Linked DNA regions of Lytechinus pictus. Each later gene encodes a partner of the first gene's protein in a complex. Links are inferred from orthologs where the notes say so. Each region holds a gene or a part of one and is shown in the gene's direction. Other genes may lie near its edges.

The links.
Region 2: the proteins of dehydrodolichyl diphosphate synthase complex subunit DHDDS-like (region 1) and dehydrodolichyl diphosphate synthase complex subunit nus1-like are in contact, whole or in part, in a crystal structure (PDB 7PAX), measured with the Homo sapiens proteins. The link is inferred for Lytechinus pictus from reciprocal best matches to the Homo sapiens genes DHDDS and NUS1. Residues at the interface, in NP_995583.1 of Homo sapiens: Arg37, Arg38, Glu81, Asn82, Lys84, Arg85, Arg159, His160, Ile162, Ser163, Val166, Arg167, Met169, Ala170, Trp171, Val173, Glu174, Pro180, Ser181, Ile183, Ser184, Glu185, Leu188, His199, Glu209, Val210, Arg211, Leu212, Ser213, Asp214; in NP_612468.1 of Homo sapiens: His137, Gln138, Pro193, Glu194, Lys197, Ala198, Ile200, Val201, Ala204, Gln205, Phe207, Cys208, Gln209, Val211, Ala212, Arg217, Pro218, Thr219, Leu221, Asp222, Val223, Leu226, Asp237, Pro246, Val247, Asp248, Ser249, Thr250, Leu251, Gly252.

Annotation. Positions count from the first base shown.
Region 1 is NC_087248.1:11,204,095-11,216,264, forward strand, and holds the start of dehydrodolichyl diphosphate synthase complex subunit DHDDS-like, read left to right. Parts: upstream 1-7,353; 5' UTR 7,354-8,128; coding exon 8,129-8,163; intron 8,164-9,085; coding exon 9,086-9,299; intron 9,300-11,859; coding exon 11,860-12,002; intron 12,003-12,170. Other genes in the region: PH-interacting protein-like, read right to left, coding at 473-633, 1,254-1,352, 3,664-3,814, 6,686-6,745, 6,942-6,971, 7,060-7,118, 7,233-7,281. UniProt on the Homo sapiens protein: With NUS1, forms the dehydrodolichyl diphosphate synthase (DDS) complex, an essential component of the dolichol monophosphate (Dol-P) biosynthetic machinery.
Region 2 is NC_087248.1:4,386,549-4,399,659, reverse strand, and holds the start of dehydrodolichyl diphosphate synthase complex subunit nus1-like, read left to right. Parts: upstream 1-8,474; 5' UTR 8,475-8,561; coding exon 8,562-8,862; intron 8,863-10,175; coding exon 10,176-10,331; intron 10,332-11,072; coding exon 11,073-11,222; intron 11,223-11,811; coding exon 11,812-11,911; intron 11,912-12,906; coding exon 12,907-12,997; 3' UTR 12,998-13,111. Other genes in the region: tryptophan--tRNA ligase, mitochondrial-like, read right to left, coding at 2,804-3,055, 3,829-4,002. UniProt on the Homo sapiens protein: With DHDDS, forms the dehydrodolichyl diphosphate synthase (DDS) complex, an essential component of the dolichol monophosphate (Dol-P) biosynthetic machinery.

The DNA of each region.
Region 1 (12,170 bases):
AACTGACCTCTACCTTTTGTGTCAAGCAGCTGAGCTCGACATGAGGGAGAATAAGTGTATTAGCATTGATGAAAAATTGCTTGAATTCTACCTCGCAGTAACCAAGTTTTCATTCATGCCTCATGTTTGCAATCCTAGCTTCAGACATAGATTGAATGTAACATGGGGCCCATCTCACGAAGAGTTGCGATTGATCCAATCGCAACTATGGAAAGCCAGCAAAGTCAACATGTTAAATGCATGTTTGTTCCAAAAAAATTCTAGATATGAATGTATATCCATAAATTCATTGATTTCTTGACAATTTGTTGTGTTCTCCTTTGTTTTCAAAGGACATTTTGCAAATTTCCTATAGAAAAAATTATGACACTGATGGATTTCCATAGAGTTACGATTGACTGGATCAATCGTAACTCTTTGTAAGACGGGGCCCTGGGATCACCACTAGACATAAGCATTCAAATATTCTTACTGTGATTATCCTGCGACCTGTCTGATCAAACAGAACACAGTAAGCTGAAGACAGATGACCCAGGGTTCGAATGTGAAGGTTCGTCCGGCCATACCTCTCCCCAGGCATTACGTGATCAAGGCGAGCTACGCCAGCTAGTTGTCTCCCTCGGATAACATTGTCTAACAGATGGATATAATACAGTGAAAAAAAAGTTACAAACAAATGATTGAAGTTGAAATGAATTCTACTTGTACAACGATAATTTGAATTTGAACATAATCTGATAAGATGCATGAAAAAAAATTGAATGTGTCAAACGATTCTGGTAGTAAAATGGTTATACTGTTGAGCAACAAGCAAAGTTGCTATTAAAAGCATGCTATTCTATAAGATAAATGGGTCTTTTTCCAAGAAATAGTATTATTCTGTGCCCACATATGCATGTTTCTGTGTAGGTGACTTTCATTGTGTAATCAGTATTCAATCTATACTCCTTCATTTTACAACATTTGGTTTACTAAAATATCACAGAACTCCATAGAATTATATAGTGTCTATGTTGGTACAATAATCAAACAATGACTTCAAAATTTTCTCTCTCTGCACACAACTCCTGTTGAGCTGGACAAGGATTTAAAAGCTTTTTTCTCAAATTTCTGCTCACTACAACTCCAGTTGTGCTTTTTAAAAACGAACAACAATAATTAATTTGCATTATAATATCACAGATCAGATTCAAAATACGATGCCTGCTGAATTATTGCTACAGATGATTTAAATGAAAAGCATTGATACTCACAGACATTTGGCACCTGAGAAAGTTTATTTGGTGGAGCTATGGGCCGTTGGTGGTAAAGTGCTGCATGTACAGACGGACTCCATAGAGGGGGCTTCACATCTAGGGTATAAAAAAATGTTATATTGTGAGAAAAATAAAACAAGTGGAGCGCCTCTGGCGGTCTCACCTGCATTATGAAACTGAATATAGCAGCAGTGCTGACTTTGAAAACTAATATAGAATAACTACATGTATTCACAAAAAACACCATTCATATGATATAATACTACGTTCATTTACCCTAAATGACATTTGACCTTGATCATGTGATCCAAGTCTTGTCAGTGATACTTTATTATCCATATGTCCACATTTCATAAAATATATCCATAAATAAATGGTAATTAAACAAATACCGCCAACATGGCCAAAGTTCATCGACCTTAAATTACCTTTGACCGTGGTCATGTGACCCGAAACTTCCAGGGGATGTTCAGGGATCCTTGATTACTCTCATGTCCAAGTTTTATGGACTAGATCCATAAACTTTCAGAGTTCTGATGGTAATTTAACAAATACCCCTAACATGGCCAAAGTTCATTGACCTTAAATGACCTTTGACCTTGGTCATGTGACCTGAAACTTGCAGGGGATGTTCAGGGATCCTTGATTACTCTCATGTCCAAGTTTTATGGACTAGATCCATAAACTTTAAGTTATAATAATAATTCAACAAATACCTCAACTTGGCCAAAGTTCATTGACCCAAAATGACCTTTGACCTTGATCATGTGACCTGAAACTCACACGTGATGTTTAGTAATACTTGATTACTCTTATGTCTAAGTTTTATGGACTAGATCCATCAACTTCCGAAGTTATGATGACATATCAAAAACTTAACCTTCGGTTAAGATTTTGATGTTTCCTAGGTTATATGCCTGCTTGGCGTTTAACAGTCAACAAGTGGAACGCCTTTGGCAGTCTCGCCTGCATTACGCCATTCAATATAGCAGCAGTGCTGACATTGAAAAACAACTATTGAATACTTATTTACAAAAAAACCCACAATTCATATGATAATGAAATACTATGTTCATTGACCCTAAATGACATTTGACCTTGGTCATGTGACCTGAATCTCAAGCATGATATTCAGTAATACTTGATTAACCTTATGTCCAAGTTTGATATCATTTCAAAAACTCAACCTTCAGTTAATTAAGATTGATGCTGACGCCACCGCCATCGGAAAAGCGGCGCCTAGTCTCGCTGTGCTATGCAGGCGAGACAAAAAACCCTGGGGCGGTATTCTTAGGTCATTTTATCTTTAAAATATTTTATTTTATCTCTTAAAATGAAATTGGTATTCTGAGATAACATTTTATCTCTCAGATAAAATTCACAATTTTATCTTGCGTATCTATAGAAGAATACGCAACAGAACAGTGCCTGCGTAGACATACCCATCCCATATCTGGCCATTGCTCGCCTGCATTACGCCATTCAATATAGCAGCAGTGCTGACATTGAAAAACAACTATTGAATACTTATTTACAAAAACCCCACAATTCATATGATAATGAAATACTATGTTCATTGACCCTAAATGACATTTGACCTTGGTCATGTGACCTGAATCTCAAGCATGATATTCAGTAATACTTGATTAACCTTATGTCCAAGTTTGATATCATTTCAAAAACTTAACCTTCGGTTAATTAAGATTTGATGTTGACGCCACCGCCATCGGAAAAGCGGCGCTTATAGTCTCGCTGTGCTATGCAGGCGAGACAAAAACCCTGGGGCGGTATTCTGAGGTCATTTTATCTTTAAAATATTTTATTTTATCTCTTAAAATGAAATTGGTATTCTGAGATAACATTTTATCTCTCAGATAAAATTCACAATTATATATCTTGCGTATAAATTTTATCTTGCGTATCTATATAAGGAATACGCAAAAGAACAGTGCCTGCGTAGACATACCCATCGCGTATCTGGCCATTGCAACGCGGATGTGTGCTTGCGCCCATGTTGAAGAAAAAATAAAATAGACTTAAAAGAGGGTAGGGGCTATTTTATCTCTGCGGCGTTGATTTCACCAATATTTCTAGGTGAATTAACCCCATAAAATGAAGATAAAATTGTTCTCAGAATACCAATTCGAGGAGATTTTAAGGGTATTTTATCTCACTGATGTTAACAGAGATAAAATATTTAATTTTATCTGAGATAAAATGGATCTCAGAAAACCACCCCTAAAAATCAGGTTTTGTTTCACATATTGTAAAATATTCATTTATTTCAAATGGCAACTTTTTTGGAGGGATTTAAAAAAACTTAAAAAGAGGCTTTTAACTGATAAATCATAAAGGGATACCTTTGATTAAGAAGTTAGAATGAAAAACAAACAAAGCAGCTTCTTACCTGCTGCTGTGCGTAGAAGGGATTGTCTAGCGCCCCCTAGCAGTGACTTTACACCATGCACTCTTGGCTTCACATCTTTGTCCAGGAGATGTCCGATACGACCAACAATTTTCAACAGATGATCATTCTTAATGTGACCGTTGCAATTTTCCTGAAAACAAATTTAGATGAAGAAAATTCTAGTGGACCTAATAAATGCACTGAAATTTCCGTTTCAATGGATGATAAGTTCCTGAAAGACATTTGAATTGCTTACGTCTTTTGGAGTCATCATGACTAAAGCTACATTGGTGACAACATTTATTCTGTGGACAGTGACTCCTCCTCTCCCATCCCTCCTACTCCTCCACATATCATTTATTAAAATTATCACCATCATCATCATCATCATCATCATCATCGTCATCATCATCATCACCATCACCATCATCATCATCATCATCACCATCATCGTCATCATCATCATCATTATCACCATCATCACCATCTTTCATCATCATCACCATCTTTCATCATCACCATACTCCCCTTTCTACTCATCATCTTCATTACTTTTATAGTTAAAGGTCAAGTCCACCCCAGCAAAATGGTGATTTTAATCAATACAGACAAATCAAACTAGCATAACGCTGAAAATTTCATCAAAATCTAATGTAAAATAAGAAAGTTATGACATTTTGAAGTTTTGCTTATTTTTCACAAAACAGTGATATGCACATTTCAGTGACATGCAAATGAGAAAGTCGGTGATGTCCTTCACTATTTCTTTTGTTTTTTATTGTGTGAATTATACAATATTTCATTTTTTACACATTTGACAATAAGGACAAACTTGACTGAACCATATAGTATTAAACAATGCTAATTCCACATGATCAGAGTAGAAATCAAAGTTGTTTCACTTGACAATGAGAAAAATTTGAATATTTCATACAATAGAATACAAAAGGAATAGTGAGTGGATGACGTCATCAGTCTCCTCACTTGCATACCGTCTAGGATGTACATATAACTGTTTTGTAAAATAAAAAAAACTTTAAGATGTCATAACTTTCTTATTTTACATTCAACTTTAATGAAATTTTCGGTGTTATGCTTGTTGGATTTTTCTCTTTTTATTCAAATCAATTTTCTGTTGGGGTGGACTTGCCCTTTAATTATATCAAGCCTCCCCTCAACATAAATTTTGTATAAAGTTGTGTAAACTTGGAAAATATTGATTTTGTGAATAGCGAGTTTTGACAAAATACTGCTATTCATCTCCTCAGCCTTTTTAATTCCATATTCAAATTTTCTATATTTTGAATTTATGAAATAAAAAATTTATTCTTTATCGTTTGGGATAACTTGCCCTGTAACATAACTAAGCAAAAAGAACAGCAAAATATCAAAATTCTGTGCAGAAGTTTAGTGAAACTCATAGAGCTCTACAACATTATAATAATAAACTTATATTATAAAATGCCCTTCTTTCGAGGAAAACCTTGTAAGATGTAAGAAAACAATATTGTACTGTATACTTCAATAACAAACATAAAGAACACATCATGTTGTTCAAGATGAAATAAAGTAAATTTCTACTGAAAAAAATATAATACATAATTCTACAAAATATAAAAATTATTTGGTGCAGTCTTTGAATGAAACTCTTCATGAATTTGCATTCAAATAATAATTGACAATATTTTTTATTTGTGTAGAATTTGGGGAAACATCTGCAGCTCTACTAGATACGTGTGATCCCCCACTGAAAAAAAATCAGTTGAAATTATAACTATGAAAACATCATGGTGTATAAATTACCATATCTAATGAGTTTTTTGAATCACCTATTTATTTTTACAATCACCTTTTTATAACACAAATGGACATGAAATGTTGAAGTAGTTAAGGCATGTTTTAAATAGATTTCTCTTCTGGAATTTCAATCCCAAAAATAAGTGAGCCGAGAAAATCAATGTGGATGTCACATACTCATAATCGATAGGCCTATTCATTTTATTACTTGATGTTTATATACAAGAAGGGCATTGTAATTTTACTTATTGGAAGAAAAACAAAATAATATACTAGCATGCATGTATTCATTAACATATTTATCCTCATCATAATAAATACCAAATTATTCTTTTATCATATAGCCTATGCATCTTTGTAGCACTTGTAGTAAAGTAGCAGCAGTTAGTCTTAGTAGTCATAGAAGTAGTTGTAGTTCAGTAGTAGTAGAAGTATAGTAGTAGTTGTAGAAGCAGCAGAAGTAGTAGTAGTAGTACTAATTTGTACCAGTTACTTATGCATAATTTAAATAATTATCATTATTACTATATCATTCATTATCATGTTAATCATTAAATTATTACTATCATATTATTATTATTACTAAATTATTGCTTTTATTATTATAATATAACCATCATCGTCATTGTTAATTATTATTATTATTGGTAACTAGTACTAGTATAGTGTTGTCATTATCACTCAAGTCAGCGCATTTTCTTGTACTCAAATGGGTACACATTCACGACACAAGCAGACTCTCTCCAAAGGTTTCCTCAATTCAACACACTTCACCGAAATTGAAAACATGAAGATGCACACTGCACACAACTCAGTGCCGTGTGCAAACAATCCCTTATGAATATGCATTTTAGCTCATCCAATCATAGCTCATTTTGCAAACACTATGAGGTGGCCACCTCACAACCCTTACAGGCTCTCTGATTGGCTTGGTGATCACACATACAATGATGTCATAGCTAGGGGGGTCAGGTTGCTCGATCCATTATGCAAATCACTTGCCTATGCCTGCGTTTCATGGGGATGGGAAAGAAGCTATTTTCAGACGTATTTTTCTGATTTTTTCGGGAAAAAATGGAAAGTGAGTCCTATTATTGGTATCAAATGATTGCTACACCCATTTGACAACCAACTATCCACAAATTTTCACATTTAACAAATTTGACGATTTTAGAGGGAAATTCAAAAATTAAATCCAATAGAAAAAGTTTTTCACATCTCTTACCAAGTTTTTGATGCTCTGTCGATGTTGGTTGCCTTTCCAATCAAATCTGGCAGAAAATAACTGAGAAAATGGAGATAAACAATTTCTATTAATCATTTCTAATTCAATTATTTAAAACAACTATTATTCTAACATTCTATCAATTCAAATTATAATGTAGACGTCGAAATCCAAAGAAATGTTGAATTTTCGGCCGAAATTCACTTTCAAAAACGAGTCATCATGCATCAAACACAAACGAATGAAATGCACTCACCCCATTTTGCTCGATCTCTCGTCGGAGAACCTGCCAAAGACAAGGAAAATATACGATATTAACTGATGAAAAATCACAAAAAATACACAAGAGATGTTTAAGAAGACGTAATACTTACATTGGCTGACTCTTTGCAGGGTCCATTTTCCAGAAATTTGGCAATTAAGAAGTACAATTCTGTGGACAAATTGAGAGAAATTGGGTCGTTAGATTTGTTGTCGTTACACTTCGCTGCGAAGGCGCGGATAAAATAGTGAACAGCACCCGAGGAAAATGACAGCAAAATATTACCTGATTCAGCAGTACTGTCGTTTACCCTTCCTACATTCTCTTCAGCCATATCTAAACATGGTCTGTCAAGAAAGGAAACGAATGGAAAACAAGCAGATAATTATAATTTTTTGTCAGAAGAGATACATGTGTTTCACAACCTCGCAATAAACACCGTAAAAATTCCCGGCCTTGTTCCTGCTGCTCCTGCACTGTACTTAGTCGAGCGTTTGCATAGTATCAGTGCGCAATGCTAATATAGCTCGTTAAATATCTCATTTTTGTGAGAAAATATCTGGATATGACAGTGTAAATACTCAACCTAATAGGATAGAACTCAATTATGATATTCTTTAAATTACTCCTTTGTATAAAAAATAATCTAGAGTTAGAAAAGTCCAGAATTTTGTGGTCAATGATTCATCCGCTCTCCCTGACCTTTGACTTGATTGAATGCATGCATAATGCACTGAATTGCATGCATTGAAATTGCCAGTGTCTTGAACGTATGTGTGCAACGTGGGCAACGCCATACAGGCTCGATACTTTCCAGTGCATGTGTGATATGAAGTGTGTGTGTAACGTATGAGAAGCCATACACATGTGTTCTGTGCGGCATACTGCGCTAGCTAGATGCACGAGAACGATTTTGCAGTAACATTTTTCGCCGAAACTTCAGCGAGCGACTTTCGACGAAACCCCGTGCATGCAGCTAGGTGCTACGGTACCTGAATTAGAACCTCCGATGTGGCACCGAGTCTTGCATCAGATCTTCACCGCTCGACGCCGACCATAACTCGACGTGCTTGCTTGCCGAAAGTCCCGGGTGTTTGGATTGTCGAGTTACGCTTAGGTTAGGGCCCTGTCTTGGGAGTGGGAGAATAATTACCTCACCTTAATGAGTTGGATAATGTAACATGGATCCAGAACTTAGAAAGTCTAATGAACATTGGTGAGTATTATTAAATCTAACTTAATTCTTTTAAGAGCTAGATAAATAATAATACAATATTTATTTTAGGCCATTATTTTTTTTTTAATAAAAAAAATTATCTAGAATTTTTTTTTATGAACTGTGACTGAGAATGTGATGGTGATGTGAATAGACTGAGACTTGTGAGAGTGAGACAGTGACAGTTAGATCTACATGTAGGTCTAACTTAGAGTGAGACTTTAAAGTTAGGCAATACTGTGTAGGCCTAGATCTAACTTAGATAATCTAACGACTTAGTAACGTTATGCTGCTTGGCTTCACTTTTTCATGTTTTTAGAATAGTTTATCAGTTATCAGGTTTTAAACAAATTATGAAATTATGAGCGTAGCTTGGTCGGTTAGAGCGCATGTTTCAGATATGATCGTACTTCGTCCCGCTCATGCTAAAACGCGTCTAAAAGTAAAAAAAATATCTGATGCTAATAGACAGTAGTAAAACTAGTATAGTATAGCATTGTGTATTCAGTGCAGGTGTGAATGTAGTTGGAAAACACTCCATCCATGGCATACATGTAGGAAAGGATGCAAATATTGGTCCCGTGTATAGGAGAGTCACAACCTAGCTATGCACGTTAAAACCAATACTAGTCAAAGTGACAAAGAGTACGGTGTTCAGCCGGTGTGTTGCACCCGCCGGTCCAGGCAAAATTCAGGTCAAGTCACCCGATGATGCGTTTATGCCCAGGAGGGCCCTGCATCGTATACATCCAGATCCAGAATATTATGGTCCCCTTTATCAAGTCCTGGAATTACCCTTTTCAATATGTTTCACATTTTATTACATGTAGATCTCACCCAATCATGGCTTATTGTAAAAAAAGTTTTAAAATTCTTTTTCTAGACTGGGCTAGATCAAATCAAATTTTTCATTATATTGCAGGATCGAGGCATCAGCAGCTACTTCAGAATGGTTCCCAGAGAAGCAGTACCAGGCCCAGAAGACATGGTTCCAGTCCTTCTGTCTGCGGGTCCTCAAGTGTGGTCCCGTGCCTCAGCATGTAGCCTTCATCATGGATGGCAATCGCAGATTTGCTAAGAAGAAGTCTTTTCAGACCCTAGATGGGCATTCACTTGGTTTTGAGAAATTAGCGGAGGTGAGAGTGAAATCCAAAAAATTTAAGCACGTTTTTTTTATAAATCTTTTGCAAGTTAATAATGATATTGCACTTTCTCCGGAAGATGCAAATTGCCAGCCTAGCCATTGTAGTGTAATTGTAAGCCTACATGAAGGCAGCTTGAAGAAAAAGGAATATCTTTGTTATATGCAGTTGATCTTATTATTGATCTTTATATTTGCATTCTCTATATTATAAATGAAAAAAAAAAAAATTCCAAAGAAATTGTGCAGAAATTTTTAAGCTTCAAAAATGTATTCTAGACAGGAGGGTCACTGGAAATATGTTTGGCTATCTTCAGTGAAGAAAAAAAAATCAGTACTTCCTATCAGCTGCATGTCTCGATGTCCAGTCTATAGTATGGCGACGCAATAATTCAGTACGCAATTGGTTAAATGTCCATTCTTCCATTGATACTTTCTGGTAACAGGTGAACCAAACAAAGGTGTAGGGATATGCAAACCCAGTGTTTGCTAGATCAGTCTTTCCGGATATGTCTTCTTTTGTATTCAAAGTATAGGGTGGGAAAATTATGTTTTAGGAAACCCTCAAGTACATGGTTGATACCATGGTACCTTGATGGGGGGGGGGGGGGTGGGGCGGGGCAAGGTAACCTGAAAGTAACATCTTTTTTTTACCCCACTTGAGACATGTAAGAATGACATGCGCTATTCTTTTCATGTCCCAGTTTTCCAGACTTCTTTTTTTTTTACACTCTTCTGAAGTTCTGAGAAATGTCCTCATGAATACATACAGTACATGTAATTAGCCCCATTGAAGTCAATGTATTCATGAGGTCATTTCTCAGGCCCCCATGGACCGATTCCAGCCAAATTTTGGTAGTGGGGGTTTTTCATCATGCTCTCAAAAAATATAGTATCAAAGCACTGAAATGCTAAAAAAAAAAGTTTTTTTGTGACGTCATCACTTTGGTACTCTCTTTGAAAATGGTAGAGGGGCAGTCCACCCCCCCCCCCTTCTATAATATCATGCAGAATATTAGTAGAGGGGGAATGAAAGAATCACCAACCATTCTTCTTCACACTCAATCTAATAATAACAGGCATAATTATGCATCTGTACTACATGTGGTGTTCACAGCCCTTTTCTTGCATGTACAGTGTAATTTAATAGAAGAAATATCTTGACTTCCTTTGAAAAAAAAAACACTGAAAGGAACATCCAGAATGCAATACAATTTACAGAACTTCATTGAATGTTTAAATGTGAATATTGGTCAGATGTGATCATTGATTACCCAAAATGTTGATTTTTTTAAATTATATTTAAACTGTTACTGATCATTCTCTTAATTACCAAATGAATAAATGCTCAATAGACCAATATGCAATAAAAACCTAAAATAATGTGATTTTTACTTTTCCCAATAAAAATATAGATCTGTCACTTTCACCAACAGAGAATGGGAAACTTTGAAAACAATGTTTACTTATAATTGGAATGAATGAAAACTAAGAGATAGATAATGTGGACTTTCACCCAGTCCCTTTAAAGTGCACATGCTATCACTGGATTTCCTGAATGACTAAAAGAGAAAGCATGTGTGTTTGGGGGAGTTACCAAGTGAATGTGTTGATTATCATTTCATGTACAATATCATTTTAGAGAAGTTAATAGTGATACAGAGAGCTGCGCGTGTGAGTCTGCATGTACAATTTCTTTAATAGTGGGCTGCAAAGTCACTTGTGAATTTATCAACTCACTTTACAAATTGTTATAATTCATGCAATAAAAATAATAGGCCTACAGTACTTGGAACATTAAGGGTAGGCCTAAATTGGGATTGCATTAAAAAATAATTCTTTTATTTATTCTTGGTTTCCAAGTCAATAAAACCTCTTTGATTACTTGAAAAATAGCTGCATTAAAGAAAAAGATAATTCCTGAATAATCATTTTAGTGGGAAACTTACATGTGTGGTCTTTGGGGTACACTAGGGACCCATTTTGTTTTTAGTTTGAACTATGGTAACCTCAATAGCAATTACCATGGTAACTGAGCTCAGCAGCCAATCCGAATCAAGTTTTCCATGGTACCTACTACCTAGTTACAATAATGGCAAAATCTCAATAGTTGTAGCTCTTTATGAAACACACCCCATGACATGATTCGATAATTTACTTCCATTCGGTTTATTATATGAAGACATTGTAAAAACAGTCAGAAGACTGACACATTACAAAGTTCACAGAAAAAAGAAAAATAGGCCTACATGAAACTGAAAGGAATATATACCTACGAAAAAATCAAATAAGAACATAAGAGTAAGATTAAATATTGCACTGGAGGTTCATACACATTACAAAAACATCATTAAGAGGGGAGAATTATTCTATGAAAAATAAAGTGAAAATAGAATGACCCCCTCCCCCTTAAAAAAAATAAAAATATTGGGATATGTTGATTGATTGATTTCATTGTAAAGTGAAAAAAAAATATTGTAAAACATTTAATGAAGTACACATTATCATTAAACGCTATAATTACTACACATTATATGTTTTCGGTATATTTTCAGACTCTACAATGGTGTTTAGATCTAGGTATTACAGAAGTCACCGTCTATGCATTCAGTATAGAAAACTTCAAGAGATCAAGGCAAGAAGTGGACGGACTGATGGAATTGGCAAGAAAGAAATTTCTCAGATTATTAGAAGAAAAGTAAGTTCAATTTTTGTTTGTTTATTTCTTATGATTTTCACCGTATTGTACAAACTTTTTTTTTTTACATAATGAGATTTATATCAGAGAAATTATATTTTTATTACATTAACAATCTGACCAACATCTTGGAAATTTGGGAGTATTGGTGGAGTGTTGCAAATACTT
Region 2 (13,111 bases), about 6.8 Mb from region 1:
AACTCTCTACAACTGGCATGACATTTCAAAAAAAAAAAAAAACAGGGAAGAGAGAACCTAGATGTTCCATGCTGATTTTTTTGTTTAAATTTATAAAGTAACATATGATGCTTCAAACAACATTTGACTTTTTTGTTATAAACAAATTACAAAATGAACTTTAGAATGCCTTTGACATTTATCTTAAGATCTGTTTGTAAATGAACCACAGGAAACTGAAGGCAAGGGGAATAGGATCCTGTTCTTAAAACAATGGCAACAGATCAACCTTAACCTTGTATGTTTTAAGCACTGAAGGGAGTTGACTGATCTGCAGTACATATTATTTTTAGATCATGTGGGCAGAAAGTGAACAAACAAGGTTGTTGAATGTTTATAAAACTGAAAAGGAATCTGACTCGACCCAGTTTGGGGTTCAGGATCTAGGGCAGGATGCACGCATACAGCTTTAAAACTGGTTGAAATTGGTTTCAACCAAACTATTAATCTTCAAAGAATAGCATTACTCAGTTTTTTTTTCTAAATCTGGTTTCAAAGAATTAGTTTTCAATCTTGCATAATAAGCGACTCATTACAGATATTTTCAGCAGACAGCTCTGAATACCTATTATTACTTCAACAGATTCAGAATTTGACCCCCCCCCACCTCTCCATGTAGCTTTATGTTACTATACTGATCATACAGTATTTCCAGGGGTGGATCCAGTGCTGTTGACCTGGGGGGGGGGAGGGGGAAACATTTACCCCCCCCCCCCTGCCATGAAAAGTAAAAGGTCATCCCCATACAAGCAATTGCTACTTAAGGATTGATAATTGAAAACAAACAAACAAATACATAAATAAATAAATATATAAGTGAATAATAAATAAAAACTGGGAGGGGTTCAGGAAGATATGGTGGTGGTGTAGGCCCCCTCACACCCTAGATCCACCCCCAATGTGTGTATAGCAAACACTTTAAGAATAAGCATAAAATCTTGAAAATATAGTAAGTAGAGTACTTTGAACATGATCACTACTAGTTTTTTACCTTCCTGACACAAGTGCAGCATTAAAATAAATGTTTACATTTTGGATTGGATGTAATTTGTGGCCTCTCAAAACTGCCTGCTAAAATCACTGATTACATGAAAGGCTGGTACATGGTACATTTGTACTTTATCATGAACAAAGAATTTACAAAGAACACCTGCATGAAAGTAAACATTTTACTTCCCTTTCTATACCACCAACTCTTTTAAATGCAAGACTGATGTTGGTTTACTTTTAACTCACATATATGTTTAAAATTTACAGTTCAAAGTGTAAAACACAATAATCTGTAGAAACTCGCAGATGTGAATTGTAGTTAGTTTACTCTTGACTCACATACTGGTACAAATTTAGATTCAGAAGTGCACACACCTACATGTATATAGTATTCTAGACTGAATGTTTACCAGCAAAGATTATCTTCTATTGTAAGTGTTATAAATTTGGTATCAAACTAAATGGCAATTCATGCATTTTCCTGACTCAAAACATTCATTGCACTTATAAAACTTTATTCATAGTGTAATTCTTTTTCTTCTGAAACCCCAATACAGTATATGGGCAAAGATTTATGTTCAATTGCAAGATCAAGTTTTTGTTACTACCTCACCAAAATGTTTCTCTATTTAAAGATGAATAGAACACTATCTACAGCGTGAAACACAAACAGCTTTTTTTTTTTTTTTTACTTCAAATAGCTATATAATTATGGTTATATCATTCAAGACCAGAAAAAAATATTATGAGCATCTGATTTTTTCCCCATAATTCTACTTTAACAGTGTACCAGTACATCATAAAATCTACTGCATTTCCATTTAAGGTTCCCAGTGTTGCCATGACAAATTTGATATTACATAAAACAGCATACATGTATCTTACAGCCTCTAATAATTACTGTAAAAACAATTCAATAAACTTTGTAGTCACTCCCTGTACTGTATGTCACAAATTTTCTTCCAAGGACACAATGAACAAACTAAAAATTAAAAAAAAATCTTCAAGCTACAATAAATCAAAGTTTAGCAATCACAAAATGAACTTTGATTAGAAAATTATTTATTAGCACAATAAGCAAGGCATCATGTCATTGGATGAATCTTTTCCAAGAATACCCTTGCTTATAAATGTGTGCTAATTTGCAATATGATTTCAATCAAAAGCCTATAAGTGTCAAATGCATGGCTCAACTCTCATTTGAAGATAAGTGCCAGACTGACCGAACCTCAAAATAACAATATATGTACATTACATGTTTGTTTTTCCATTGTTATTCAATGGTCAGATGTGACTCTTAATCAGCACCAGGGCCAAATTACATGGGGGCTCAGGGCGATTTCACCCCCAAGATACTCTGAAGAGCCATGGAAACTAAAAAGGGAGCCCTTGAAAAATCCCCACCCATTGCAATGCTTATCCAATGTTACAGATTTAGGCGGGAAGCTTACCAGCTGGTCTCATTCCGTTTCAATACTGAACTCAGTGGCCAGCGTAATTAACCCAAAAATTGGTGGGGCAAGACTTTATATATGGGGCAAATTTCTGAAAATTGCTGTGAGCGAGTGAAGTGAGCGAGCACAATTTTTCTACCCCTTTGATATAAAAATCTAATTTTTGTAATAATTTTATTCCAATTTCCTTTCTTTTTCTTTCATCTTTTCCCTTTTTTTAGTTGTGAAATTTTTTGGGGTCCATGAACACCCAAGTCCCTCCCCCTCACCATCTGTATGCCAGTGACTGAACTCCAAAAGTTAAAGAGAGTTAGACTTACACTTGACTGCTGGAAGAGAATACTTTTATCAGGGTCGATCCCACAGGCAAGGAGAACAGCAGCAGAGGTAAGGATACTCTCCCTTAACTCCTTGGGATCCTGGGGGAGAGTGATGGAATGAAGATCCACTATACTCAGGATCATCTCAGTATTCTCCTCTTCCTGGAGCTGGATCCAGTTCTGGATAGCTCCAAGGTAGTTGCCAATGTGTGGCACCCCAGTAGGCTGGATCCCAGAGAAAATGCGCTTTTCCTGAGGAAGAGAACAAATTATAAATTTAAAAGAAATATACCGGTAGAACATTTTATTTTTTTCTTTGTTTATTTTCATAAAGAGAACAGACTAGATGAATGCACTCTGTATGGATTTTCAGTAGTGGATTCAGTGTTTCTTAGCACTCTAGGAGAGCAAAAAAAAATTCTTCAAAAATTTTCTGACAGGCGAAAAAAAAGGTGGGGGAGGGGCCAGCAGGTCATTTTGTTTTTTAAAATAAACTTTTCTGTTGTTTAAAATAAACTCACTCATTTCCTTCCACTGGGATTTTTTAATTGGAGATCCCTACTAGGCCCAGTAATTATTGTAAATAGAACCTCTATTATTATTTTTTCATTGAAGTCCTGTTAAAAAAAGTATATTTCAATAGTCACCAATGAATATTCATGATATAACTTTTTCAATATCAATCCCATTGAAAATAATTCGGAGAAAAACATTTTCCATTTGGTAGCTATTTTATTTATACAGATCTAATTGATGATCATCTGACTGAAATTGATAATTCCGACCCTATATCTACATTCGATTTAACATAAGATTTCATTTAAGAAACTACAAGTTTTAAAAATAATTGTTGTTGTTTTTAACTTATTACCCCAACCTTAGAGTAGAATCTGAGCAATGGGATAACCCAATGGTCACAACAAATGACACAAATTAATTATGCGAACTCCTGCCATCAACATGAAATTATTAACTTCTTGAAAAATCTATTCTAATTTCTAGCTAAGCCTAAGTCTAAGACTTACCTTTGTCATGTTCATCAGAACTTTGACTGATAAATTTGAACTTTGATGAAATCCCTTGCCCTGTCCCTGTATCCAAAAATTAGGTCTTCGAGAAACTGATGCATAAGAAATACACTTCTTCATGTTCAGTGCTTTAATTCTAAGTGATGTCAGTGATGATGGATTGAGCGCCATGATCGATGCACTGTTCCACTTTTCAGCGGATTCCTTCTTGTCAACCACCCGGGCTCACTGGCGTGGGATCGCTGGCTCCCGCTAGTGAAATATCGTAGCTCGCACAGCACTCAGAGTCAAACCTCTACTTTGTTGACAAGCTAGTGGAACGGCACTCACACAATTTGTGAAGAGAAATGAATTTACTGGTGTGGTACAATCTATAATTATGCAGCTTCTGTATTTTTTCACCAAACTTCTGAAGATCTTAGGCCTCACTAACTCAGCGCAGCTCAATTACGCCCGCTGCTGCTGTCGTGTGCTGCTGTCTGCTTGAATATTGCAGTGACGCAATATTACTGAAAATACAGTCCATAACAATGATACTCATGATGTATGGTATCTTACAATATTTTTTTTTCGCGTTTTCTTCATCAGAATAATTGTTCTTAAATTCGCAAAATAAACAACCGGATTCGCGACTCGCGTAGGCCTAAATAGGCACTGGCGTATTGGGGGGGGGGGGGGGAGGGGGGGGGGGTGCTCTGGCCCCCAATCTTTCACGACCAAGAAAAAGGATATTAGAAAAGAAAAGGAAAGTTGAGTGTGGTATTATCAGTGTTCGATAATAATCATGACCAGGGGTGGATCAAGCTTTCGCCAATAGGGGGGGGGGGGGGGGGGCGCGATTTTTAAAACCATAATTTCCTAGAACAGCCGCTAAAATTTGTTTGTTTCTTTGAAGGGGCAGTCCTAACAGACACTAGAGCCATATGAATTTGTTGTGTTCACTTAACGCGCACCGTGGCAAATCCCCTATTCCGGCGTCAAAAACTTGACAAAATAGACCAATTTTCGGCTCTTTTAACTCATATCTCAAAAACCGCTCGAGATTTTTCACGGGTTCAAACGGTTTCTTAATCTTAGACTTGTTCTACATCTCATGATATCTGTCATTTTATATTCTGATTAAAAAAACAACCGTGTTTTTTTGACTGAAAATACACAGTTTCTCGTGTTTATGTGTGAGAGAAGCACTTTTTGCACGGTTTTGGGCTCGATCTTCTCTTACAGCGTCTGACTTTCGTATCAAAATTTCTCAGTTCAACGATCGACTATCAGATAGACAGGTTGTAACTCTTTCTTGTGATATAAGGTTCAACCTAATTGGTTGAAAAAAACCGCCGTGTTTTTTAGGTCAAACTTTACAATCCAATGAACTTGTTTTGTATTTATCACGCATAATCTACGTTAATTGATTAGTCGCACTGCGCATTGTCTATTTTAGTATGCCTATCAACTCTTTATATTCTTTCCTCTCCTATCAAAAATTGAAAGGGGGTACAATATCCTCGTCCTAGATATAAGAAGAAGAAGAGAACATTTCCTTTTCATTACATGTAAAATCATGTCCATTCTTGAAAAAAAAATTCGTCACTTCTAGGTTAAACTTTACAATGCAATTAACTTTTTTGTTCTTATCATGCACAATATCCATTAATTGGTCGCACTGTGCTCGATTGGATTTTGGTATACGATGTTCAACCTGGCAGCAGCGCGTTTTGCGTTAGATTTGGAAATCCTCGTTCCCAGACAGGGATATGTAACATGTAAGCTTTTCATACATATAAAATTCATATTGATTGATCATTTAGCTCCGTCAATTTTCACGTTAAATCATGCTTGTCTCATTTTAAGAAGCCAAATCCAGGGATGAATAATGTGTGCATACCGGTGCATATACGTATACGTGCAGAGCATGAACGGTGTATACACCACACAATACGCCGAATACCTTTCTATGCAATAATCACGTACACACACAATGCGCGCAGTAGTAAACAACGCGTCGCTAAGACAACTGAACCTGAACTCGGGAGTACATCGAGGGAAGGAGTACAGAATCAGAGAAAATTATTCTCACTTTTTGGTCAGAAGAAAACATTTCCTTACATGTCTATATCTTAACATAAACAGAAGCTGCTCCGTTATCCTTATGTCGTACCACAGTCAATATCATAAACAAATTACAGTGATTCTATTTTGTCACAATTAATAAACTTAATTAGGGCAATTTATGCACCCCCAAGAAGTAGTGTTTACGGCCCGGCCTATCTCTACCACACAGACCACACAGACTTCGCACAGTTCGGTCAAGGCGGTACGCGTATCATTAACTGCCAAATACAGCCGACCCAAGCTGAATAAAACCTTCATATTAGGTGAACAAAATAGGGGGTAACAAATTCATATGTTATTCTTTTAAACTAACATAGGCCTATTGATAATCTCATAAGCCCTATATAGTGCGAACCCGAAGCGTGAGCTAAAATTTTCAAGATACGTATGTAAATAAATAATTACTGCTCGCGCAAAGCGCGAGCAAAAAAAAAAAAAAAACATTCTAGCCTGATCGAAAAGGGACCTGTTAAGGAATGTTTGCACCTAGTTAGCCATGAAGACAATACATATTTGAACAATCAAACAATGCGAGCGCGAGCTGAAAAGTTTTTTTTTTCCAAGGCTTTCTCTCATCTCATTTTATTCACTCGTCTTCCTCCTCTTATTTTCTTTTTCTTTTTCTCCTCTCTTTAAATTTTTTCTTTCTTTCCCCCTTTTTTCTTCTTTTTTTTTTGGCTCCGCGAATAAGGGGGCCGGGCCGGCCCCCTGCCCACTGGATCCGCCCATGCATGACTATAAAAAAAAATAAACAATCAATTTTATTAATCGATCACAAAATTAAATTAGGTTTTCATTTTTTTTTACTAATCTCCCCATGCCATGTACACTTTGCTCTATAGATTACTTATTAAAAAAAATATATACACCCGAAGAATTGTTACTTAAAGAGGGGGCAATTAAAACTTCACTTTTTTCTAGGTGATGGATTTTCAAAACGTGACACAACTGGGAACTGAAGGTATGGGGCTCTTAAGGGTCAACCATGCTCTGATCTGAATATCATTCAGTGGGGTCAATGTAGGATCATTGTCAAAAAAGGGCACGGAGATGATTGTATGGGGGCGGGGGGGGGGGGGGTGGATCATAATGACTCCTCATGAGTCATGATCCTTTACCCCGCCGGCCAGCATTTGCAGAGAGAGGGTGAGGGATTAGATTCACATCAAAATTCAAATTTTATTTCATTTTGTCTCCACCGTGAATCCGGGCTAAGTCCACACGAAGAATTGCAGTAACATAATGAGATTCGGGATTGAGATAAACTGGATTCATCGGAGGGGTGCCCATATTCTTCATTGTTTACAATTACATCTACAGCATCTTCAATTCCTGAGTGGGATACTCAACATGCAGATATAGGCTGCAAAAGAACATGAACCCTGGGGCGCGACCTGTATGAATATAGTCTACAATAATGTAGAAAATAGAGCCCAATCACTCTATATACAGAGGCGTATGTCGATTAAGGGGGCAAGGGCGGTCGACCCCATGAAAATATTGCCGGGGGCAAATAAACATAGGCCTATCGATTTGCCCCAACAATAATTTAGACAACTTGAAAATTTTAAGTAGGCCTATGCACTGCAAAAATAGTTCAAAAAGGTTCGGAAAGCACTATAAAAGGCTTAAAATAAAACTTAAACTGTGACATGTCAATTTTTTGCGCCTGTGTGGCGTTTGGTCACTCCATTTATTTCACTCATCATCTACGCGACAGCGAAATGCTAAAAGATTTTATTTTTATTACTTACAGGGTGCGTATCTCTCATTGAAATAAAGCCCGAAGCGGCAAAGAAATATCATTATCTTTGCCTTGAAAATTGGATATTCAGTCCTATATTGAATCGGATGTAGGCCTATCTCATTACACGTACAACGCGATTTAATAGTGGCCTGAATTTTTTTGCATTTTCCGACAGTTTTACTCCTTTCCTTATTATTCACTTTTTTCCCCTCTTATCTTTCTTTTTCTTATTTTTCCTCCTCTCCTTGTTTTTTCTGCTTTCTGCTTTGCTCCCTATCATCACTGGCGGTCTCCCTCGATCGTCTCCCTGAACCTATCATTCACGGGGGGGGGGGGGGGGGTGACAGGTGTATGATGGCTTCATCCACCACCTGAATAGTATGACACCATGGAATTACGCCCATGACGAAAACAGTATGAGTATCCAAACCATAGAGATATACACTAAGTAATAATGTATTTTTATGAGCCAAACTCAATCCATTTTTGTTCCCGCGCTTAGCGCTCGCATTTATTCTTTTTTAAAAGTTATTTGTATTATATTCATGGATGACTTCGCGACATCCCCTCCATTCATAGAACGAAGTATCCCAGGTCGGTCATATGCACCGCAGTGGTGGTAATATTTCTCGACATCACGCCATGATAGTAACACGAATATGAGGCGGAAAACTCCGAAAACTTAAAAAAAAAAAAAAAAAAAATCCTCCGATACCGCGGATTTTTCAGTCAAATCTAAGAGATACCGTAGGTTCAATGTTTCTTATCTTGGTCGGTTACTTCAGTTGAAATGGGCCACGTTAAGCGTTCGGTTTGATGTTTAGAAAACCCAGTGCAAATTAGACCAAAAACAAGAGGTCTTTATCGAAAAAGTATGGCTTTGGACTTTTGTCACACTGCTTTGCTGCATTTTGTGCATATCGTGTTATGGGTTCGTCTTTATTTGTGGACTCGTTTAACGAGATTTATTTCCAAACACATCGGGTTGTGCATTGGAGAGCAACGTAAACTTTCCGCTGAAAGATGCCGCATCGACTCAAAGAATCTTCCCAAACTTCCATTACACATCGGTCTGCAGATCCTGGAAAGTCGGATTTCAGACGAAGATGTCGCTAATCTACTGGTGTGGTGCATAGCCATGGGATTTCAATATGTTTCTCTGTTTGATGATGAAGGTGAACATTCAACATGCAAATATAATTAATACTATAATAGCCATAATCATAATAATATTATAATAAAATTTGATTAACACTAAATACCGGTACCGGTACTAATTATAATAACAGTAACACTAACAAGTCAATACGGGTAAGGCCTACCACTCACACTGTCTATGACTATGGCAAGTTCCCCCAAGTCTGCGCAGTCCCCCTTGTCTGCGCGATTCTATTAAAAGAAGATATGCAACGAACACAGACTTTACACATGCAATACATAGACGGGTATTCATAAAAAAATTTGACTCAAAATAGTGGAAAAATAATGAATTTAGGGCATTTTATGTGACGGCCTCAGAATGCAGCCTTTCTCATCAAAATCCCTGAATTGTGTGCAAAGTGAATGAGTGCACAGACATGGGGTACCATTTTTTTTTTCAATCTGAAAATGACAGGTTTTTTCAAGAAAATCTTATATTTCATTTTTCAATGAAAAATTTGGTAGGGCCTACACTTATGATAATACAAAGAACATTATTAACTGAAAGATTTTGTGACATAAGAAGAAATTCATGTTAAATCTTAACTCAAATTGTTAGGTGCGCAGACTTGGGGCCCACCATTATTTTATAACTTTTAGTTTTACAAGTTACGGGCTCACTTTTAAACATTTTAAAATTAAAGTCACCAAAATGATAAGGGAATCATTAAAATTCAGCGTAGGCTGAGGTAAATTTTTACAAAAAAAAACAAAAGTTGCAATCGTCAATTTTGTTCTCTATAATTAATATTCTGTACTAAACATTGTTGAGAATTTGCTCGATAACTTTTCCAAATGGTTGTTTAAAATTGATTGTCTGGACACGGTCCTACACACAACCTGTCCGTACACACAACGACTGGGCCGGGTACCGTATACTGGTGACTTTGTATTGCTTGATTCTGTGATCTAGATTTTGATACTTTTTTTTTAAAGGTTATGTTGTGATGTCCTTTAAATTGTCTATTTCATTACATTTACAAAATTGCTATGTTTATCCATCACCATTTCTGCGCTTCATGATGCTCCTTCCAGTGGCTCACTTTATTCATCATCCCAGTATAGCTTCTGTATGAGCTGCCAAAGGGATTACTACATCAAGTATTAGTGCCTATATATTGTAGCTCTGGATATTTGTCTGGTAGTAGTGGTCATGGTGATTGAGTTTAACTTAAAAATATTGAAAGTATTCAAAAGCTAATAATGACAAAATATGATAGCCAGAAAAAACCAAACAAAGAATCTCTGATAATTGATTTGATATTATTTTTTAAAAACACTATTGCAGGTTACTTCAAGAAAAACCCTTCAAAACTGAGAGATGTGATGCAGAAAAAGATGGCAACAATTTCAGAGAGTAACCGCCTTGTCTTCCATATTGAGACACCAGTGAGAAATGGAGAAAGAAGTTATAAAGTCACTACCACCAAAGAAACTTTACAAGGTATGTCTGACCATTCTGGATTTAAGTCAATTTTTACTTTGGCCACTTTTTTCACTGCTAAGTTGTAAGCTGTTCCTTTCCTAATTGTAGTTTGCTTTTTAAAGTTGGTGTGTGTATCTGTGTGCTTAGGTATGATTCAAAGTAAAAACCTAAATTTCTTTCAGTGAGATTGAAGTGCTGTTAGATGTAGGAATACAGTATATTCTACAAAATTTGGACTTCAGTTGTGGTAAAATGTTCTTTCATGATGCTAAACATAAAGGCTATTGATAAAATTAATGGACATATCTGCTGATACTGGTTCTGTTAACAGGTGGTATTTGAATTTGTTCTGATTAAGTAGCCACTGAACTCCTTCCACTTATCTTGCTGCATTATTAATTTCAAAAATAGATTTAAGCAATGGTTTCTTTGAAAAAAAAATTGAAATATATTTTATATGAAAGTAGAATTAGAAAACTAATGAACCCTATTCATCATTACAGATTTTTATTACTTTCTTGAGATGTTGAAAGTGATAGCAATATGCAGTGTAAATATTTTTGGAATGTTGACATTATCATCACAGTCTCAATTTGGCATAATTTACAACACTTGATGAAGATCGCTTGAAAAGATGATTCTCCTTTAACTCATTTCAGCATTTGCAAATCTATGAAAATTGGCAGTCAAACATCTTTCAAAATGTCCTATTATGCTCTTGCCAAATCCATGACACTTGGTTATATTTTTCATTTGCAGATACTAAAAGTACTCGGATAGCCCTTATGTCTTGTGAAGATGGACGGGGGGATATCTTGGAATCTGCCAGGAAACTATGTCAAGATGTAGCAGACAACAGATACAGAGCATCAGAAATAGGCATTACCAATTTAGACCAAGTCATGAATTGTAAGTTAAACTTAAATATCCCATTTATTTTGTTTTTACACATAAATCTGCAACTACATGTATTTTTTGACTTTGGGTAAAGTTATGGGTTAGCCACCATCAGCATTCAATCACAAAAAAAACTGAATAGCAACTGACATTTACCATAATGGCTAAGCCTACATGTATAAAGTGACAGGAAAAATAAATTGGTAATTTCAAAATCTAGTGAATCAACATTAACCTGTAGTCTTTATAAGTTGCATAGATTCTATAAATACTTGTCTACTGACAGAATGCCTCCTTAATTGGTTTTGTTAAAATGAGCAATTACTTATTTACAACCAAAATTTCTGGCAATTTTTTTTTTATTCCTACTGTGCACACTCTTTAATAGGTAGTTATGTTGGTTTTAGTTGAAATTTATTTTGCAAGAATTGCAAATTTTAACAGCTATTCATCTTTAATGTAAAATTTGCACCCAACTTTCTATATCCACACAAAGTGTTATTGAACTCTGAGCATGCAGTCTAACTTTTGTCTGATTTTCTGAAATGTGTTCTCGTAGTTTTCCTTTCCTTTCATGATTCATTACTTTTTCATATTTCAGCATTACTAGATTATCCCAACCCAGATCTTATCATTCAGTTTGGACAAGTTAATAGTTTACTTGGATATTCACCATGGAAAATTAGAGTTACAGAAATATTGTAAGTATGATGTTCTAAGTTGCATGAAATGTATTATACTGGGAGAGTAGGGGATTTTTTGTGATACTCTAAAGTTAGTGAACCACACCATGAAATGCACTCCTTCATGCCGATTGTTGACAACAACACTGCAATTTTTATTGATACTAAATGTAATATTTTATCATCTGACTTCATAATTAAATATCTAAAACATGGCAGAACTTGAACACTTTAAATAAGTTTTTTTTTCTGTTTGGGTTCGTTAAGTTATGAGCACAACTGTAGTCTTTAAAAACTACCATTCACTGCAGTCATTAAAATAAGAAATTCATTGTGCAATTTCATCCTCAATGCTTCAGTAGAATTGTGGAACATTTCTGCTCGTTTTCGTAATTCATTATAATATTGATGCTCAAAACCTATTTAGAAAGCTTTATTAAATGGGAATTATAATGGAGCAATGTTTTGATCTGGTTGGACTTGCTCAGCAAGGTAAGTGTAGTCCATGTATTTTGACCAGTGCCGAGTTGATATGGCCGAATACATCGGTTCCCAGTCATTTTGATTTTTGTATACCACTGTACTGAAGAAAGATAAATCAATCTCGAGGCCTTACAACATAAAACATTTTGATGGATTGCAAATATATGAAAGAACACTGCTGTTTTGTTCTCGGTCAGTGTTTTAAACAAAATGTGCATGGTACATTGATTTTGATTGGTCAGTCCATTTAGCGATTGATCCCTAATCTTGATGTTACAGAGCCCTGGTTTAAATACCACTATTAAAAAAGTTAACATATTGAATGGGAAAACCTTAAATTATAGTCTCTAGAATCAAAATATTGAAAGACAATGAGTGCAGGATTTCTCAATATTCTTGCTTGAATTTATCAGCCTAAATAACAACATTATCATGTTTAATGATGTGTGTTTATAAATGAAAAATGAAACATGATTTTGAACCGAGCGTAAAATAAACCAAATTCTGCTGTTTTATATTCCATTTTACAGGTCTGTTCCAACACATCATGGAATGAATTACCAAAGTTTCATCGACGTACTCCACTCCTATTCCAAAACACAACAGAGATATGGCAAGTAATGCAGCCCTCCCTTAAAAGATTTTTCCATGAAATACTTTAATATATATATTTTTGGAATAATGTGTACTATACATGTAAGTTAAGAGTATGAGAGAAGCTTGGTTATATATGTA